Lonchura striata: one gene and its partner. The protein of the gene in region 1 purifies or fractionates together with the protein of each later gene. This does not show direct contact. Links are inferred from orthologs where the notes say so. Each region holds a gene or a part of one and is shown on either strand. Other genes may lie near its edges.

Region 1 (10,496 bases):
ATGAAGAATGAATGCAGTTGTGGAGATACGTGATCCAAGAGATAGAATTATAGAGTCATTTAGGTTGAAAAATCCCTCTAAGAACTAGTCCATCTATTAACATAGCACTCCCAAGTCCATCACAAAACCAGGTTCCTAATGGAGATGTCTCTCCATGGGCATTACAGGCAACACAGTACCAGGTTTACTCTTAGCTCTGAAGTGTTTAAATACTGTTCCAGCAGGTCTTTCATCTCCCATTTCTGTATAGGTACCATGAATGCTGACTGCAACATATACTTATAATGTCATGCTGTAAAAAAATCTATTAATGGACTGAAATACAACTTCCATGTCATGACAGGCTGTATGAATAAAACTTACCTCACACCTGTACAAAACTGTCCCTAAGGCATAAGGGAACAAAGAAAAGACCTGGATTGTGTGCACACTCTCTCTGTAGAGAGACTGTCTCCAAGGCTTAGTTTACAATAAGGATTAGGGTACATTTAGAATTAGGGTCTGCATCTTCAGTTGGAATGGGTTTACAAAGGAGCTTCAGAGAAAAACAGCGCAGAGAGAATTTGGAAGGGAAAGTGTTTTGGTGTTGGCATTGGTGGGGTATCCTGGTCTAAGGCTCACCCTGTGGCCATGGTTAAGGCTGAGAAAGAGAAACCTATGGGGAAGGCTAGACAGTTGGAAGAGGCTAGAAAAGAGCTCTCAAAGTGAAAGGTGGGCTGCAAAGAGAAATTGGCTTCAAGAACTTCTTGTTCTGGGCAGTGGCTGAGGGTCATGTCTGAAGCTCAGCCTCTGAGATTAAAGTCAGGGTTAGGCTTGGGAGGGGGAGTCATTGAGCTTCTGCTGCAGTGGGACTGTGAAAGAATGGATAACTGGAAGAAGGAGAATTTTGTTCCCATAAGTTTTCTGTTTGACCTAGCCCAAGGTAAATTGTAGCCCAGGATTCAGCCTTAGGCTGGGTTTATTGATATGACTGGGTTGACCTTGGCTGGATATCAGTGCCCATCAAGTTACGCTATTACTCCCCTCCTGAACTGGACAGGGGGAGCCTCCTACCCAGGTTCAGCTTCACTGCCAATTTTATCTATCTTTTCCCCCAGTGGAGGAATGGGTGCCTGTGATCAGGTCATTACACACTGTCTTTACTGCTCCATTCTCCTTCTTCCTCCCTTGCTCCAGTGTGAGGTCCCTCCTACAGGAGACAGTTCTCCATGAACTTCTCCAACATGAGTCCTTCCCAAAGGCTGTAGTTCACAAACTGCTCTAGCATGGGCCATTTCCACAGGATGCAAGCCCTTCAGGAGCCGACTGCTCCAGCGTGGGTTGGCATCTTCTCACAGAGGCCACCCCTATAGCTCCCTGCACAACCAAAACCTTGCCTTGCAAATCCAGCAGAGGCTAGGGTTAAAATTAGGGTTAAAAGAAAGAGAGCCCAGAGTTGCACTGAGAGTTGAGTTAGAAAGGAGGTGGGCTGCAAAGAGAACTTGGCTGGGAGACTGTTTTGGCTTGGGAATTAAAAGAGGGGGTGACAGCATTTAATTATGTTTACATCAGGATTAGAGTTAAGGATGGGAGAAAGAGCCTAGAATTCCAGCAGAAGGAGAGTTAGAGAAGGGCTTTTAAGGGGAAGTCTAAGTTAAAGGAACTTGGCAGGGCTGCCTGGTCTGAGGCCCAGCCTACTCTTAAGGTTATTTTTGACAAGAGAGTGTAGTACCGCAGCCTTAAAACACCTGGGATGCAAGAAGAACTTTGTTGCAAGAACTTTTTGATATGACTGGTGCTCTGCAGTCCTGGTCTGAAGTCCATCATACAGCTTGTGTGAGGGTTAGGGCTGGTGCTAGGAGCCAAAGAGACCCTAGAGCTGCAGATGAAGGGAAGCTTGAGAGCAGCTGATAGTGAAAAGGTTGGGCCACAGGGATAACTTGCCTGCCAAAACTTGGTGGTGGAAGCAATGGCTGAGGGGCCTGGTCCAAGGCTCAACATAACTTCTAGGTGTAGGGTGAGGTTTGAGGTTATGTTTGACAGAAGGAAAGAGACAACAGCTGCAGCTGGCTCAGGGCTAGAAAGTGACTGTCCCAGGGAAGTGTAGGCTGCCAGAAGAACTTGGCAGCAAGAACTTCCTGGTGTGGGCACTAGCACCATATCCAAAGCCCAGCATATGGTTTGTTTGAGGCTTAACGTTAGAGCTATGAGACACAGAGGACCTGGAGTTGCAGCTGGAATGGAGGTACAAAGCAGATCTTAAAAACAAAAAAGGTGTGGTGTTGGAAAGGATGGATAAATATAATTATTCATAAATAATACAGCCAGGATGAGAACAGTCCTCCCAGCTAGCCGGACAATGCCCCTGCCTACGGATGGGTCCAGGGGTCAAGTGGACTGTTCCATCTCAGCCCCTAAAATGTATGGTTCACCTCGCATCTGTAATCCTCCCCTAAAACATCAAGTGCCTGTAACCCCATTGGCCCGAGCCTTGTTCCAGCCCACCTTGAAGCCCCCTAATAAGGGGTCTCCGAGGGGCCAGACCCTCTCTTGGAACTTCCCCTCCTCTTGGAACTTCCCCTCTCCTACAGCATCCTTTTGTCTCTCCCCTCCCCCATCCTCTCAAGCCTCGCCACGTGCTGGTCTGGCAGCTCGAGGCAGGACCTTTCTGCATCCCCAATAAACCTTGTAACCCAAGAGCAGCCTTCAGAGATGTCTCATCCTCATTCACCTAAACCGTCCTGGAGCTCAGCGCTCTCTACAGTGTGGGGTAGAGCAAATGTGGCAGAGAGAATATTTTATTGAGGGCACTGGTTGGGGGACCTGGTCTAAAGATCTGTGTTAGTGTTAAGGTGGGCATTTGGACAGAGAGAGCCTAGAGCTGCAGATGGAGGGAGCTTAAAAAGGGAACATGTCAAAGGAAAGAGTAGAACATGAGAAGAACGTGGCTGTGACAATCTTTTGGTGCGGGCAATGGCTGGGGACCCTGCATTGTGACTCAGCATAAAATGACATTTTCCCTCAGGTCATTGCTAGAACTGGGGGAGAGAGAGCCCTGGAGCTCCAGCAGATGGTGAGTTAAAAGAGGTTTGAAAGGGAGGTCTAGGCTGCAAGAAATGGACTGTGAAATTTTTTACTGTGGGCATTGGCAGGAGGGCCTCAGCCTCTGTTCTGTTTTAAGGGACAGGATTACAACTGAGGGAAAGACATCCCAAGAGAAGAGTAGACTGCAAATGTAATCAAGTTTTGTCTCTTCAAGTGACTTCTGAGTTCAGCTGCATCTGTCTCATGGATTCAGTGGAAAACCTGTGCCCACAGTGGTTCCTACAGGAAAGGCAAGTACAGGCAACCATCTTTGTTTGTGGCACTTAAAACTGAAGAGGATAAATCTTTGCCTCAGACTTTGTAATGTAAATAGCCCAGGCCCTTGAATTTTTAAAATTTTGCTGTAATTGTTATTGTCAACATCCTCTGTTCTTCTGATAAAACCACCTTCTTTAGTGAGAACTCATATTTGCAGAGAAGAGCTCCTTAGAATCTATGCCAATATGACAAGAAAGTCTTCTGGAAAAAAGAGCAACTTCCTTCTTCAACCTTCCCTATAAAAAATCTACTAAAATTTTAATTATTTATAAACCAAAATGCTTAACTATAGGGATTTGCTCTGGAAAGATGAAGAAAGACACATGTGTGGCAGATGTTAGTCATGTTGATGTGCGTAGCATTGCACAGTGCTCAGATGTCGTGTTCTAAGTGTAATGTAAGGGATAAAATGGGTACTGAACTCTTCCAAAAGTCTGACTTCAAATCTATATTTAGGCATCTAAGTGACCTGCTTTTATTCAAAGGTGCTGACGACTCAGTTGCTTCCATTGACTGCAGCAGAACATAAGGGATTTTTTTGTTGTTGAATCCATTTTCAAGAACAAAAATTACAGTTGAGTATCTCTGTAACTCCTAAGTAACTCTGCTGGGGGAAAAAAAAAAAAAAAACAAAACAAAAAATGAGCAGAAAATTAAATACATCTCTGTTTTATCATACTCTCCATAATATGAAGACAAGGGACCATATAATAAATCCCAGTAACTGCTTCAATGCAGGAGGGAGATTAAACATTACTGCTTTAGATTCCAGCATGATAGATAACTTTGCTGTTGAGATCACAATGGCAAAAGAGAAATGGGGACGTGCAACACATTTTTAAATTTATGTAAGCTTGTGTTGGGGTCCCAGACTCAGGTATTGATCTTAGTTGCCCTGAACAGCCACACTGGGAACACATTCTGCCCAGGACCTCCACTTAAGCTCAGGGAGGGCACAGTTTAGGTCTCTGCCTGAGCTATGTTGTAGGTATACCTGTCTCCAGCTCTGTGTTTTGGTTATACCTTGGGCCTCTCTCGTAGGCAGCTTGCCTGCACCTCTGTTTCTGGCCCTGGATAGAACCTGTGCCTACGTTGTGCCTTCCTGGATGGACATGGTTCATCACCTCAGCTTCTCTGGGACTGCTGATGTGATGTATGCTCTTGCCAGCACCCTGCCCACCAAGTGTGGGCCCTGTGCATCCATGCCTTGTCACTGAGAGCACTGGTTGCAGTGGGATGACCCTCACTTGTGGTTTGTCCACCTCATGGAGCTGCCCTGCTCTTGCTTCTCCCTAAGGATCTGGTCACCTTGCTGAAGCATCAGATGATGAACAAAGCAAGATCTACAGCAGGCAGGTCAGTTTGTGTTATTCAGAAGCTGATGTATGACTTACTGTAAAGGCTCAGGAGATGTATGCTCTGTGTTACCCGTGGGTACTGGCCCCGAGCAGTGACAACAGATGTCATTGAGTTCCTCATCATACAGTGGAGCAAAACTTACGCGGTGTTCGATATTTCTGAGCTGGGCAGATGTGCCTTTACAGGATGTCACCTGTCACTGACCACATCCTCTGTGGCCATGGAGACGATCAAGAAACATTCTGCTGGGGGTGTAACAGCACAGCGAGGTCACAGCGGTGCAATAGTCTTGCAGGGGACCGAGCTTTCTGTATTTGCGGCACGTCGGCTGCAGGAACCGCTCTGCTCAGGGAGCCGAGCTGGGGCGGGAGCAGCAGGCACAGCCCTGCCGCAGAGATCCCTCTCATTCCTACAGATCGCTGGCAGAGGGAACTGGAATCACACAAGCTGTACGAAGTTACGGCGTGAGCCACCAGCTCGCTAAAGAGCAGGGCGATGGGAGGCTCGGTTCCTCAGAGGACTGGCGACGGCGTGAGGGCCAGAGGCCAGCGGCCGACAGCCCCTTTCCCGCGGGGCGGGGCGGGGCCCGCGCCCAGCTCCGCAGGCCCCGCTCCCTGAGGGGAGGGCGGCGCGGCGGCCCCCCCGCCTCGCTGCCCGCGGCCGCGCAGGCGCCGCGCGCGGGGAGCATGCGCAGCGGGGCGGCAGAGCCGGCGCTCCGCGGTTCCCGCGGGGGCGGGGCGGGCGCGCGGTGCGTGGCGGGCGGGCGGCGGCCGCTCCCCGCGGGGGGGGCGGGGCGGGGCCGCCGCGCCGAGCGGGGCCATTTCAGCCGCCAGGCCGGGATGCGCCCGGCGTCCCGCGGCTGCCCGCCCGCCGCCCGCTCGCCCGCGGGGCTGCGGCGCTGATCGCTCCTGCCCGCCCGCCGCTCTACCCCACGCCAGCCCCTTCCACCTCCGCCGCCGGCAGCGCCATGGCGGCCCCCAGCAGCATCGTGCCCGTCATGGCGAGTAAAACCAAGACCAAGAAAAAGCACTTCGTGGCGCAAAAAGTGAAGTTGTTCCGGGCTAGCGATCCGCTGCTCAGCGTCCTCATGTGGGGGGTCAACCACTCGGTAAGCGCCGCCGTTCGACCCACACGAGCCCGCCCGCCGCGCTGGGGCATCGCACCCGGGGGCTGCGGGGGCGCGGGCGGGACTGGGGCAGGCACGTGCCGCCGGGAGCCCCCGCCGGCTGCCGCCCCTCGCCCGGCGGGGCCGGGAGCGCCTTACCCCGGGAGCGTGGGGTGTGCGGCGCGGAGCGGCTGCAGCGCCCTGCCCGGGCGCGGACGATGCGCGGGGGCCGTGCGGGGCGCCTGCGGTAGCCCGTGTCCGCCCTTTGGCCCCGCGGTTCCGCTCGGCGGCAGCGGGCGGGAGGTGCCCGGGAGGGGACGGTGCTGCGAGCGGAGCCCGAGTAGCTCCGCTCCTGCCGCCGGCACCGCGCGGGCGTCGCATGGATGTGCTGCAGTTGGGAAAAATCCCGGTTATCAGTGGGAACTGGCCAAGTTCGTCCCGCGTCCGTGCTGTTCGCTTCGGCAAGTGTCCGCTGCCAGTGTGCGCGGGGGAGGGGAGGAGGAAGGGCTTGGTGTGGTAAGGCGGCAGAACTGCACCATTTGCGAAGTGCTCCATCACCCTGCGGGGACGGGCGGCCCGGGCTCCGGGAGAGCTCCCGGCCGGGCGCTGGTCTGCGTTAAAATTAGGAGTCTGGTAAAGGTGTCACATGGTTTGGGCATTACGGGGTTCAGGTCGCAGCTTTGCATCTTTAAATAGCCGCCATGGCAGGTTAAAAGTGTAGAGCCCAAAGATCGTCAGAAATCGGGTATCAGGGCAGTTGAGCAAAGAGCGTGTTCCCTTCTGCTGGCGGAGCGCAGCCTGTACGCCTGTGTCGGGTTTGCATGGGTTACGTCTGCTGCTGAGTAACGAGCCTGTAAGAATGTCAGTGTGCAATTTGAGATCAGACTACAAATTTTGAAACGGTCTCATGAAACCGACAGAGCAGCCTGTAGTATTTGCTCACTATTCCTTTTGTTTCCTACACATCCATAGCCCATGAATTTTTTACCTCTGTGGATGTTTCAGTAGTTTTTGCCCAAAGTCTGTGCATCAAGCCTGGGCTCTGTTAGACTGTGTTAAACAGCACAGTGCCTGAAGTAAGGATCATGGGGAAATGCTTTGGCTGTATGTACCAGACAGAGGAGAAGCTTCAGTGAAGTTGAACAGTCTGTTTAAGGTAGCACTGTGGGTCGGTAGGTAATGGTGACAAAGGATTTCAAGTTTTCAGTAGGTCAGTTGTGAGCAGTGACATCTATGTCATGAACTGATAAGACAGTAGTTATTTATCTACAAAGCAGAAATATCTTTAATTGTGGAAGTGCATGATATTCTGATTTGCCTGATTTGGGCTTAAATACCCACATTTCTTTTGCTCCTTTTGTAGTAGCCAGTGTTATAGAAAATTCTCAAACAGGCCTCTTTAATGAAAGAAAGCAAGCGAGTAATTACAGGGTGAGAGAGTTGTACTGAATGGCAGCGTGTGCTAGCTGTTCACTGTCTTCCTGAGGAGAGGGGGAGAAGATCACTGATGAAAGCAGAGATCTTCCTGTTGCAACAGCTCGTTGCTATGTGAGTTCACAGTGGAAATACCACTACTTTTAGAGGAAAGACCTCTTCACTACAGTAATAACCAAGTATATAGTGACAAATGCAACACCATATGTGATTCTCACCATCCTGCAGTCATGTGCTGTAGTGTGCTTAGCTGTTCTCAATAGAAAATGTAATAAAGTATGTTGGTTCATGCACAGAAGATGCGAAATTGTGAACTGAAGTCCTCTCTTTGGAGAGGTTCAAAAAAAAAAAACAACACCAGCAACACAACAGGCTCAGAGAAAAGAGGCTTTGCATTCACATGAAGGTGATGGTTGTAGGTGTGAATATCTGTTGTGTTCTGCAGATGGCATTCCATTTCCTTAGCCCACTGCAAAATGTAGTCATGAGTAATGCTTGGAGGCCCTGTGGAAGTGAAATCCCACTGAATGAGAGAGCATGGAAAAAAAAATTTAATTTGATGTGTCCAAATTAAACATCTCTTCCTGGCCAAGAATGCATCATTGAAGTGTTGCAGGCTTCTCTGTTAGATGCTTTTCCTGTCATTTTGTAATGCTTCATGTGGCAATGTCCACCAAATGAAAATAAGTGTGCAAGCATGGTTTAACTCTGTTATCACAAATAAGAGTTTCTCATGGGAGAAATACAAACTATGTGTATTAATTAAGAACAGGAGTTAGGAATCCTTAGGTTTCTTAGCAGAATAAACAGAAATCCATAAGCAAAAGCTAGACTAAGAACAGAGCATAGATTATAGTTCATGATGGGAGTCATTAAACTTAGAACACAGTAATTATCTGGAAAATTATATTTAAGACTGTCTGTAGTGCCTGTCAGTTAATGAGAGAATAGAAATATGAGTCTTACTAACTGTTTCTTGGGGAATAATATATATATATATATTGAAACAGTGAAGCTGAGATGCAGTTCCTATGTTTCTGACATTGCTGCATGTTTTGGAAGGAAACACTTGGTGAAGATAAAGGAAAAAGATTATTTTTCTGCAGGTGTATTCATTTTTTTAGTCTTAGGACTATACTTGATTGTTGAATATGGGAGGATTTTCAGAGTTTGAAATTGAATGTGAAAAAATTAAGAAAAAAACCTCAACAAACTGTTGTTTTAACTCTCCTGTCCTAGAAGGAAACATGACTCTAAAGGGAAAACCTAAACATTGGTGTCACAAAGCTGAGGGCTGACAGCAGAGGTGTGAGTTCTTAATGGGGGGGGGAAATTTGCAGAGGCATGCCTGTTACCCAAGGTTCTTATCAATTACCCACACATTACAATGGTAAGCAACTTGCTGTTACTGTTTAGATAGAAGTAGAGGGGATACCTAATGCAAAGTCCTGTTTGGTAGTACAGTCAAATTCAGTAAACTTCAAAGGGCATGTGAGAGGAAAACATGAAACATTATCCAATGTCTTACGAAGCAATAAAAAATGTGTTCACATTCACAGCTGTAAATTCATTTATCAGTGTTCTGACACATTGCTGTAGAATGAAGCTTGCTGCTGAGTGAAAGGGAAAGCAACTGTGTCCCATTTTGTAGATCTGATTATAATACTGATGACTTGTAGCAGCAAAGACTAATTGTCAGTGCTTGGATCTTGCAGGCATCTGCATCATTAACAGTTGATTTTTATCTTTGTCTTTTACCCCAGTGTCAAAGATAATCTGGCTGTGCTACTGAAATAAATATTTAAACTCAGTGGTTAGTATGACTTAAAGGTATATTTTTAGCTAGCACCATAATTGTATTTAATTTACAAGTGATGTAAATAACATTCTTATACTGTCACTGCTGCTGGATTTCCAATAACTGTAGGAAGTAGGAGAGGAAAGGAGGGTGGCATATAACTTGTTTTCTGTGCCTAGAAATGAAAGCCACAGATTCTGTGTATTCTGCATCCTATAATCATCCCAGGCACATTGATGGTGAATGTGCTCTCACTAGAATTGGTTGCGTGCTTCCGTTAGGAGCTTGTTAGGAAAGCTGGGAATTTGTAGGCTTAGGTCCTTCAAAACATCATCCTAAAAGATGGCAGAAACTAATACAAGTGGGGTTTTTTGTAACTAATTTTGAGGTAAAGAACAGACTGCTGGAGAGCTTGCCTACTGTGTCAACCATTAAATGTATTTAGGAGATGAGCATGAATGCCTAATGAGTTCAGCATACTGTATAAGTTTAAAAAAACCCAACCAAAACCAAACAGCCCCCCCCCCCCGCCCCAGCCCCTGGAATCTGTAATCACCATCTGTTTCTTGGATGATTACAAGCTGATCCAAAAATTTAACAGTGCCCGACTTCTCAATGGCACTTGCTGCCTAATAAGCAAGTGTGGAGAAACAAGAATACATGGATAAAATTACTTCCCCCCCAGCACTTTGTGGAGTACATCAGAAGGAGTGTACTTTCTGTGGCTAAAGAATTCAACACACTCCAATGAACTCCATGACCTTCTTCAACTGCTCACATGAGGCACTGTGAGCTTGCTGCTACTGTTGCACTGTTCCTTGTATTCTTGCTTTATTTTTAACAGAAGTGGAGCAACACCAGGAAGGAATAATTGTAAAAAGAGCTGTGGGACTCTATCAGTGTACCTCTTGTGTTCTTTCACCTTAGAGTTAGAAACTGGGAGGAGGACAAAAAGCATGACAAGTAAATGCATCTTTCTCCCCCTCTCATGCAGTAAGATATATTTGATCACATTGAGTGCTTCTGTATCTGTAGAAAGATATAAATGTGTGTTCTAGTCAGTTTTAAGTTTGGGGGTTTTCATTGGTCTTTCTTGTTACAAACTTTCATCCAAATACATAAGTAGCTCACCTATTAACACCTGTCCTTATGTTTTACCTTTCCACTGGAGAGCTTGTTAGGTAAAGTGGAACCTCTTAGTTGTGGCATAAATAATTTTTCTTAGACCTGACTTACCTAGCATCTCTCCTAGGAACTTTCTGTCCTGACACATGGTAGGTACATGTAGGAAAATGACACTGAAAAGGTGTTACTGAATTTTTCTGTAGGAAGATGAAACCTAAATAATTGAAAACTAAGTGATGCAATCTGGAATACAAATTCCATGTTTATGATTAGCTTTCATTAAAGAAAGGGTGAGATTGGTTGACCAAAACAAGCCCACAGCACTTAGTACTA
Region 2 (10,465 bases), on another chromosome or scaffold:
GGGGAGTCCATGTGGATCCCTTGAAGATCCCATGAGGATCTCATGGGGATTCCGTGGGGATCCTATGATGATCCCATGAAGATCCTCTGAGGATCCCATGGGGATTCCATGTGGATCCAATGAGGATCCCATGACGATCCCATGAAGAGATGAGGATCCCATGAAGATCCTGTGAGGATCCCATGAGTATCCCAAGAAGATCCCATGTGGATCCTGTGAGAATCCTGTGAGGATCCCGTGAGGATCCTGTGAGGATCCCATGGGGATTCCATGTGGATACAATGAGGATCCCATGACGATCCCATGAAGATATGAGGATCCTGTGAGGATCCCATGAAGATCCTGTGAGGATTCCATGTGGATCCCATGACGTGCCTCTGTCCCTGCAGCGCTGCCTCGGGCTCCGTCAACCTCTCGGTGATCACCTGCTCCCGCTGCATGAGGAAGGTGGGGCTGTGGGGCTTCCACCAGCTGGACTGTGCCGCGGCTCCGGAGCCGGATTCCTGCGGCTCCGGCAGCAGCGTCCCGCCCGTCCCCACGTCCCCACGCCGGATGCTGACCCGGAGCCAGGACCCGGGAGCCGAGCAGGTACCTCCTGCCACACTGGGCCAGGGACACTTGGCCAGCTCCAGGCGCTCCAAGTCCCTCACCCGCACCCGATGAACGCATCCGTGGGGTGGGAAGGGCTCCTGTGGGGTGGCTGAGGAGGGTTGGAGCAGAGGAGCTCCGTGAATCCCGTTTTTTTTCCCCGCAGCAGCACGAGAAGAGCCTGTCCCCAGCTGTGTCCCGGCCGCGGGGTTGGGATTCTCCCAGCTCCATGGACAGGGGCGAGTTGGATGCCATCAGCCCCGCTCTGAGGAGCCGCCCCGTGACCCGGAGCATGGGACAGGGGGACACCATGGAAGTGCCATCCAGTCCTGTCCGCAGGGCCAAGCGGGCGCGGCTCTGCTCCTCCAGCAGCTCGGTGAGCCCCCCGGGCAGGGTGGGATCCAGGGATTTGGTGTTGTCCCTCTAGCCACTCCCAGTGGGAGTCTCTAAACCATCCCATCGTTGTGTCCCTCCTCTGTCACCTCCTCGCTTCCCAGGACACTTCCTTGAGGAGCTTCTTTCACCCCAGCTCTCAGCACCGTGATTGGTGTCCCTGGGTCAGCACTGGGGAGGGACAGGAGTCCCTGGAGGATGCTGCATCCCAGACAGAGAAGGAGCCTGGGAAGGCTGAGCCAGGCTGGGAAGTGGTGCTGAAGAGGCTCCTTGGCATCCAAAAATGTGACACAGCGCCCGAAACGGAGCCAGTGGTGAGCCTGGGGCATCCCAACTTGTCTAGGCAGCAAAAATTTGGGATGGGTGGGCTTTGTTTGGGATCGGTCCCAGCCAGGTGACAAGGACCAAGCTGGCATTCCCACAGCCAGGCTCCATCCAAGGCTGGGCTGTGCTGGAGCTGCTGGAGGGCTGCTATAAATAACAGTGCTGCTCAAGATCCAGTTTCATTCCGTGTGCCCAGAGCTCCTCTCTGCAGCCATCCCAGTTCCTGGCTCCAGGCTCTTGGCTTGCCAGGCTTGCCGAGGCCACAGCTCCCTCCCCATGTGGCTCTGGAGGAGCTGCTGCCTCCCTGGATCTCATTATCCACTTGGATTCCTCCTGCCAGCTCCTTCCTTCTTCGTTTGCAGCTCAGGGGAGCGGTGGAGCATTCCCCCTTCAGGATTTGTCCTGGGGGTTCCGAGTGGTTTTGTGTCCCCAAAAGGTTCTTTCTAGTGGGAGGTGTCCCTGCCCACAGCAGGGGGTTGGAACTGGGTGGTCTTTAAGGTCCCTTCCAACCCAAACCATTCCACGATTCCGTGATTCTGCCATGTGCCAGGAAAGCTCCAGATGGTCCGGTGGGACCAGTCACAAGTCAGAGGCACCAGACCCAACTGGAGCAGGGGATGGTTGGAGGCTCTTCCTGGTTTTTTGAGTCCCTTCCTGCTTTTTGGGCTCCTTTCTCTGCTTTTTGGAGTCCTTTCCTGCTTTTTGGGATCCCTTCCTGCTGTTTCGGGTCCTTTCCTGCTTTTTGGGGTCCATTCCTGCTTTTTGGGATCCCTTCCTGCTTTATGGGATCCCTTCCTGCTGTTTGGAGCCCTTTTTGCTTTTTGGGATTCCTTCCTGCCTTTTGGGGTCCATTCCTACTGTTTGGACCCCCTTCCTGCTTTTTGGGATTCTTACCTGCTTTTTGGGGGTCCCTTCTTGCTTTTTGGGCTCCTTTCCTGCTTTTTGGAGTCCTTTCCTGCTTTTTAGGATCCCTTCCTGCTTTTTGGGCTCCTTTCCTGCTTTTTGGAGTCCTTTCCTGCTTTTTGGAATCCCTTCCTGCTTTTTGGGATCCCTTCCTGCTTTTTGGGATCCCTTCCTGCTTTTTGGGCTCCTTTCCTGCTTTTTGGAGTCCCTTCCTGCTGTTTCGGGTCCTTTCCTGCTTTTTGGGATCCCTTCCTGCTTTTTGGGATCCCTTCTTGCTGTTTGGAGCCCTTTTTGCTTTTTGGGATCCCTTCCTGCCTTTTGGTGTCCATTCCTACTGTTTGGACCCCCTTCCTGCTGTTTGGAGCCCCTTCCTGCTGTTTGGAATTCTTACCTGCTTTTTGGGGTCCCTTCCTGCTTTTAGGGTACTTTCCTGTTTTTGGGGTCCATTCCTGCTTTTTGGAATCCCTTCCTACTTTTTGAGGTCCCTTCCTGCTTTTTGGAGTCCCTTCCTGCTTTTTGGAGCCCCTTCCTGCTTTTTGGGATTCCTTCCTGCTTTTTGGGATTCCTTCCTGCTTTTTGGGCTCCTTTCCTGCTTTTTGGGTCCTTTCCTGCTTTTTGGGGTCCCTTCCTGCTTTTTGGAGCCCCTTCTTGCTTTTTGGGATTCCTTCCTGCTTTTTGGGCTCCTTTCCCTGCCTTTTGGGATCCCTTCCTGCCTTTTGGTCTTTTTTCCTGCTTTTTGGGGTCCCTTCCTCCTTCTTGCTTGTCGTCTCCTTGTTCTCCCCTCCAGCTGGCAAACTGGGACCATGAAAACAAGGAGCAAACCTCTGTCCTGGCAGCCAGCTGGGATATTTTAGATTTGTTTTTTTGCCGCAGTTTCTGCTGCAGCGCCTTGACCTGCGGCTGTTGCTTTGTCCCCATCTTTTCCAGAGTCTCTCGGAGAAATCCTGCAAGGTGTTCCGCATTTTCCGCCAGTGGGAGAGCATGAACTCCTCCTGAGCAGCCTCTGGGCAGCAGCACGGGGAGGAGATCCAAGCTCTGCGTGGTTCCTGCGGCAGCTCCGTGCCCCGGGAAGGGCCCCGAGGAAGCTCCGTGCCCACGCTGGGATCCCCCTGCCCCGGCTGCCTTCACAAACTGCTGCTGTGTCCCCCCCTCCGAGGGCTGCACAGCCCTGCCCGCAGCTGGCACGTGCCCGGGGTGACAAGGGGACGCTGTCACCTCCCTGGTGATGCCAGGTGGGAATAAACATTTCATTTTTGTTGTTTTTTTTCTTTTTCCTTCCTGCTGGCGTGGTGCTTCTCCCCGGGGTAGGAGGAGCTCTGGGCCTGGTGTGGCCCCTGTATCCCTCAGGATTTTTGTCCTTATGGGATCAACATCCCGGTGCCTTCCCTGTTTCCCATTCCTCATTTTGTTGTCTCCTTTGCCTGTTGTGGGCGTTTTTCCATTGCCTCAATCCCTGTCCCTCTGTTGAGGGCCAGTTTGGGGTGATGAACCCCTCTGGTTGGAAGGTGGGATTCCCAAAAACCTGGCAAGAGGTGAGTTTCCATGCTGGGAAGGAAATGGTGTCATCCCCATCCTTGAGGATGATTTTGGGGAAAGGGCTTTGGGAAGGGCTGGGATTCCACAGACAGCCTGGCACAGTTGTGTCTCCTCCCTCCAGGTCTGTGGATGTGGGTGGAGGCACAGGGATATGTCATTCCTCTTTTTTTTTTTTTTATTTTGGAAAGGATCCTGCCTCCATTTCCCCAGCCCCATCTCTGAGGTTTCAGCTGTCTCGTGCTCTTGGATGGATTTTGGGATTCTGTGTCTGGAAATGCAGTGGCTGCCTTGCTCAGGGCAGATCCTAGCTCTCCCTGAAGCCCAAAATTTGGGGATGCACCTGCCCACCTGGGGGCTTCTCCTGGGATCCTGCCTCCTGAATTTGGGTGGGTTCCCTTCCTTTCCCTAATTCCAGAGCCCTAACAAGGGGCTGCTGCACCCCATGGCCCTGCTGGGCTGGGAGTTGGGGTGGGAATGGGGATACCCCGAATCCAGAGTGATGAGGATGGGATGGGAAGAGCCCCTTTTCCAGCTGCCTGCACCCACAGATCCCCCATGAGCCCCCCATGCTTTCCCCATTCCTTACATCTCCCTGGAACTCTGGTTCTCCCCTTTCCAATGATTTCCAGCAGGTTCCTATGGCTCCCCTCTATTCCCTACATTCCCTATCCATGGATTCTCCTGCCTCCCCCCCATCTCTGATCAGGGAAGCACCCCACAAATCATGGGATGCACCCAATCCAGGGAGGATGATATTCCCATCCCAGGGTGGGAAAACCCAGCCACAACCCCTCCATCCCAATTTCCACACTGAGGAGTGCTCAGAGGATCCCCAAAATTCCCTCTGCACCCACATTCCAAGGTTTGGGTGCTGTGGCATTGAGGTATTCCAAAAAAAGGAACAGGTTGTAGTCCCTGATATCCTGGAATAATCCCTGGTGTTTCACAGATGGAATAGAAGCATTCCAAGAAATGATGGTAAAATCCTTATTCTCCGTGTCCAGTTCTCCCAGTTGCTTGGAACCAGTCAGGGAATATTGTGGCCTGGGAAATACAGGATCCTCTATCCCAAATTTTGCAGCTGCTCTGCTCAAAGAGAACCCTGTTCCCCTGCCAAATCCCTCCCTGAATTGTGGGGTGTGGATTTGAGTCCCCTCAGGAGGTGTCACCTCCTGCCCCTGCCAAGCTCCGGGCATGCTGGGGCTTTTTTGGGATTTGGGATTCTTTGGCTGTGTCTCCTCCCCACAGGGGGAGGAAACACCGGGGCAGATTTATGGGATGATGCCGGGGTCAGGAATGTGGGGTGTGGAGGTTCCACCATTGGTTTGGGAGACGCCCGTTAGGGGTGTCATCATCCGGGTGGGTAAACTGAGGCACCGGGAAATGCCTTGCCGGTGTCACAGCGGAAATCCGGGATGGTGACTCCTGCTGTGGGGCCTGGCCAGCCGCCACATTCCCGCTTGGATTGAACCGGAATGCCGTGGGCAAACTCCACGTTCTGTGGGGCGGCTCCCTGACCCTGGTGGGGATGGAAAACAGGGGAGCGAGGGGGTGTCAGAATCCGTAGGGAACAAGGGAGATACTGGGAATAAGGGGAACCGTGGGGAATTGTGGAAAAACAATAGAAATGGGGAATTGCAAGGCCCTGACATGGGTGCGCCCCATAGTTTATGAGGTGGTTCCCTGGCTGTGGTGGGAATGGGCAAAATGAAAATGGGGGAATGAGAGGAGTGTCAGAATCCATGGGGAACGGGGAGACACAGGGAATACGGGAGGAACTGCGGGAAACATCGGAAAGGGAAGAACCGCAGCTTGCGGCCCCAGCGGAGCCTCGAACCCGCCGCCCCGCCACCATTTCCCCCCCTCTTTAGAACTACAACTCCCGGCGTGCCTCGGGGGCCGGCGGAGCGTTGAGGGCGCGGCCAATGGCAGCGCCGCGGGGCGGTGACGTCACCGCGGGTGACGTCAGGGGTCCAGAGAGAGGCTGGGGCAGAGGCGGCCGGAGCGGCTGAGGGAGCGCGAGCGGCGCGGGGGGGCGGCCCTGTCGGCGACAGCGGCGACAGCGACAGCGGCGACAGCGACAGCGGCGGCTCCCGGCGCCTCGCTGCCCGGCGCTTCCCCGCTCCCCTCGGCGCCGGGCGGCCCCGGCCCGCGGCGGCGGCGGCGCTGACAGCCCGCCCGGAGCCCCGGGGGCGGCCGCGGCCACCATGTCGTCCCCCAGCCCGGGCAAGAGGCGGATGGACACCGACGTGGTCAAGCTGTATCCTTGCCGTGCCTCCCCCACTCCGGGCCCACGGGGGAGGAGGATTTTTCACCCCCCCTTCCCCACACCCGCGGGCCTGCACTGCAGGGCGGTGGGAGGGCGGGGGGCACCGCGGGAGTCGCCCCCCAAACCCCCCCGGTCGCACCCCGCGGCCTCTCCCCGGAGCTGGGGGTGGGATCTGCCCTTTCCCCCTCACCAGGGGAGGCCTAACCCCCCCTTCTGCCGTGTTTTGGGGGGTATTTCCCCCTCTGTGCCTTGACAGGCGGCCCTGGGGGTGTCTCTGCTGGCTCCCCTCGGTGATGCCCCCCCAATCTGGGTGCCCCGCACTCCCCCTTGCCTGCCCTGGGGAGGGTGAAGAAGGGGAGAGCAGTTCCAGCAGCCACAGCCCAAAGAAAGGCTTTTGTGGGGTTTATTATTAGTATTTATTCCACCATTTCACCCCGCTGTTCATGAAGCTTCTGGTGCCGGCTTAGGGATTTAATTTTTTGGGGAGGATGGGGCGGGGGGTCCCTCGGGGTCTGGCTCAGCAGACCCAGGGGTGGGTGAAGGGCATCAGGGCCCGAGCCCGTCTCCCAAGAGGTTTATGTAACCCTCCAGGTTTGGTTAGCCTTTATTACTTTTTATTTTTCCCCTTCTTCCTGCATAGATCTGTTTATATTTTTCCTCCTTGTTTTTATTCCTGGCCCTTTACGGGGCGGTGAATCCCTTTTTTCTCTCTGTCTGGAGAGTGGGTGGCGTTGAAAAATACCATTGGGAATTCGGTTCTAGGATTGTTTTATTAATAGTTTTTGTTTACAAGGTGGCGGTGTGAGCGTGGAAAGGGTGGCAATGACAAGAGTGGATGAAATGTTGCTCGGATCTGTCTCCTGAACGTGCCCGACCTCCCTCAGCAGGACTCGGGGCTGGTGGCTCTGCCGTGCTGCTTCGAGGGGTCGAGAAACGGGTCTGATTTAGTTCCCAGAGAGAGATAAACAAACTTATCTGGATTTGGTGGTGTTTTTTTGGAGGGGGGGGAGAGGGAGGAGCAGCAGCAGCGCTCCTGTTTGTGGCTTATCGAAGGAAACTTGCCTGACGTTCGCGCAGCGCCTTTCTCCCCACAAAGCCGCTCTCGGTGTATTTTTCGCCCTGTTTTTAAGCAAATAGGAAATGAGTCCTGATGGTGCTCGAATCGGAGCTATTTTTATCCGGGGGTTTAAAGTTACACACATGTCAGACTCCGCCAATTGCGATCGATGCTTAATCGCACCGGGAGGAGGGTCGGGAATTCCAGCTGTTTAGTGAGGGGGGAAAACCTTTCTTGGGGATACCCTGGAAAGAGCTCTGGGCCAGAGCGGGGCCGAGGCCCAACCTGATCGGCTGCTGCTCTGTTTCCCTTTCCCCTCCCCCTCTCTTTTTCCTTTTTTCCCCCCCCTCCCTTTTTGTTCCGTTCCTTGCCGGCTTCTCCAGCGATCGAAGCATTTTGGAGGACAAAGAGCAGGTTTTTCCCTGCGAAGTGGCTTTGCTGTGTGTTTCTAGGAGCTGGGTAGGTAGAAAGCCCCGAATATCTGGGATTCCTCTCGGTGCTGGGCAGTTTCTGCTCTGCTCTTTCTGCCCCTTGACAAAAGGAACCCCTAATGGCTTTTCCAAAAGCAAAGCTCTTGTTGTCGGCTCTGCTTTCCTTGTTTTCCAAGGGGTGAGGGTTAGAGCAGTCGGTCTCCTGCGGACAACAAACTTAGGAAGTTGGATGTGTCAGATGACTCCTCACCACTCCTCCCTCCCTCCCTCTCTCCCTCCCTCCCTCCCCAGCCTTTTTTTGTTTGTCTGCCTGACTCGCCCGGGGTGAGCAGCTCGCTAGGCCCCGGCTCCCCAGCCGCTTCCCTGGGGAATCTCCCCCTCTGGAAGCTGATCTGAAATCAGGGTCTCCTTTGAGACACGGCAGCGAGGAGGGTCTCGTCTGAAGGAATGTGCTTGAGGCCATCTCCCCCTGGGGCTTGCAGGGTTTTGTTGCTGCGGAGGGTTTTTGTTTGGGGTTTTTTTACCCCCCCCCACCCACCTTTTGCTGCCATTTTCATTACAGTTTCCCGTTTCATCCCCTTTCCACGTCTCCAACGGAGAATAATAGTATGGATTTATGGCCTGCCAAGGGCTACCTTTCCCAGCAGGGAGGGGGCACCGAGCAGGGTGAATGCCACTCCTGCCTTCTCCTGCTCTGACAGGTTCAGGAGCTGAGCGAGGTCTTTTTGCGATTCCTATTTTCAATCCTGCCACGTCCGTGTCCTTTTGTGGAAGCCTCTTTGTGAGGAGGGAAGGGGAGAGGTGGCTGCTCTTGGTGGGGCTGCAGGAAGGGCAGAGCTCTGCGGGAATGTGTGCCACTGATGTTTAACAATCCCCTGGACCAGGATGTGCTCCAGCTCCCCGTCACTCATTGTCTCCCTCCGGACTGGGGTTGTGCTGCTGAGGCTGGGAACAGAGAGCCAGAATCGCTCCTCCCCTTTTTGGGGGGGCTCCAGCCAAAGTTTCCTGGGTAACCTGTGACCTTTCAGAGCAGGGTTTTTGGAGGAAGGCTCTGTGCTCCCCAAAACACCTCCAGACCCGCTCGCCAGCGGCCTGGAAGCGTAGGGTTATCCCACTGGGAAGCCCTCGGGCTCCAGGCCAGGCTCTCCAGGTAGCTCCCACCCTGGGGGATGGCAGAGAGGGGGCTCCCCTTTGTGGTCCCCCCAGTTTTGGGGCGAGTGCCAGCCTCGGAGCCGTGTTTGCAGGGAAAAGGCCTCGAGCTCTCGCAACTCCGCGGATTGGCTGCTCTGTTACTACCCGGAAACCGGGCCCGGGGCGGAGCGAGGCTGCAGCTGATGGGGTGCCCCTGCCAGGGTGTTCACACCCATGGGGGGACCCACCCCGGCACCCCCATCCCCCCCAAACCCCGGGGCCGTTTCCCGTTCCAACCCCCGGGTTTATTGTTCCGCTGCGCTCGCAGCTTCCCCTTGGCCGGGAGTTTATTTAGTGCTGATTTATTTTCCTCCTTTTGTGGAGAAACGCTGCTGGCTGCCTTGGAGTCCCCGAGCTCTATTTTTAAGCGTCAGAGCTGGAAAAGGGAAGTGTCACCCTGTTTTGTGCCTGAAAGGAATTATAAATAGTGACCAGCTTTGTTTGAATCTCCCTGTGCTGCCCAGTTTGCAGAGCCGGGGGTTCGGGAGCATAATTCACCGAGCGTCGCTCTCCCTGCTAATTTTAGGCTCGTCCTGAGTCAAGGAGAATAAAGGTACAAAGCTCCTTAGTTTACCTGCAGAGCGTTTTGTAATCTCAGCGCTCCCCCACCCGTGTTTGCGCCGTGGAGGCAAAGGCTAGGACAGAGTTTACATTTGGGATAAATTCCTTTTTCTGGTCATTATAAGCTTACACCGCACTTATCATCCCACTTGAACACCTTCCAAGAGCAGCGTTGAGCAATCGCAGGGTCACGTGGAGTTGTTCTCTTTGGCCTGTCCCCAGGGAAGAGCGTGTGCACTGGAATGTCTTGTTTTGGTAGGGTTTGGTGGGGCTTTGTTGTTTTGTTTGGGGTTTTTTTTTTCCCCCCCTTTTTTGTTTTGTTTTGTTTTAAAGGATGGATATTTCTGGAAACTTTGAATGTAAATTTTCAAATGTCACGCTACGCTTCTTTCTGCTCCACTTCTGGGGCTCTGTTTTAATGAGGTCTCCAGGGATGAGGGGAATCGTGTGGTGATGCTTCAAAATGCACAAAGACGTGGCAGCAGCCCCTTCCCAGAACTGGGGGAGCCCCCCCTTTTTCCCAGAAAGGCTGTCACAGGTGGTGGTTTATAAACCAAATCAGGTAAACGTGGCTTGGGAGGTGGTGCCTGTCTTCAGGAGAATTCAAAATCCATAAATCTCTCCCCAAACCAACTGGAGGAAAATAAATAATCTTTGTTGCCTAAATGACAACTTCCAAGGGTATAATCTCGCTGCTTTTAGAGCAGAATTTGGAGTCTTTGCTGGTGGCTGGATGGTTTTGTTTCCCCAAAGAATTGGCTGGAGCTGGAAGTTCACTCTCCCTTTGTTGCCTTGTCAGTTGGACTGGGGAGGATTTGGGAGCTGGCTTGAAAGCCAAATGCACCTGTTTAATCATGGAATTGCCACAGTCATGGAGTTCAAACTGGGAAATAGGCATTTGGTTAGGGCTGCTTGGAGCAGAGTGCCTGTTGGAGCCTGACATCCCAGCCCTGCTTAAAGTAATAAAAAACAGGGGTCATTTTCATTATTTCCCCGCCTCATTCCCTAGACTTGGAGCAGAGTTTTTGGAACCCTGAGTAGTCTGGCAGGATGATGCTTCCCAGATTCCCAGTTCTGAAGTGGCATTAGAGCACTAAATGCTGATTAAACAAATTCTGGAGGCCTTTTCTTTGTCGTAACAGTTGAAAAACCCCAAAAGTGAACACGGGATTTCAGGAAAACAAACATTCCCTTTCTGACGCTCTCCTTGCT

What was found.
Region 2: the proteins of PIP4K2A (region 1) and UBE2H purify together in Homo sapiens (affinity purification with mass spectrometry; 3 studies listed by BioGRID and IntAct, with this or other methods). This does not show direct contact. The link is inferred for Lonchura striata from reciprocal best matches to the Homo sapiens genes PIP4K2A and UBE2H.

Annotation. Positions count from the first base shown.
Region 1 is NC_134603.1:138,983,395-138,993,890, reverse strand, and holds the start of PIP4K2A (phosphatidylinositol 5-phosphate 4-kinase type-2 alpha), read left to right. Parts: upstream 1-5,551; 5' UTR 5,552-5,668; coding exon 5,669-5,809; intron 5,810-10,496. UniProt on the Homo sapiens protein: Catalyzes the phosphorylation of phosphatidylinositol 5-phosphate (PtdIns5P) on the fourth hydroxyl of the myo-inositol ring, to form phosphatidylinositol 4,5-bisphosphate (PtdIns(4,5)P2). Has both ATP- and GTP-dependent kinase activities.
Region 2 is NC_134607.1:72,062,035-72,072,499, forward strand, and holds the start of UBE2H (ubiquitin-conjugating enzyme E2 H), read left to right. Parts: upstream 1-5,890; 5' UTR 5,891-5,951; coding exon 5,952-6,004; intron 6,005-10,465. Other genes in the region: ZC3HC1 (zinc finger C3HC-type protein 1), read left to right, coding at 390-588, 755-964, 1,086-1,295, 3,136-3,204. UniProt on the Homo sapiens protein: Accepts ubiquitin from the E1 complex and catalyzes its covalent attachment to other proteins. E2 ubiquitin conjugating enzyme that transfers ubiquitin to MAEA, a core component of the CTLH E3 ubiquitin-protein ligase complex.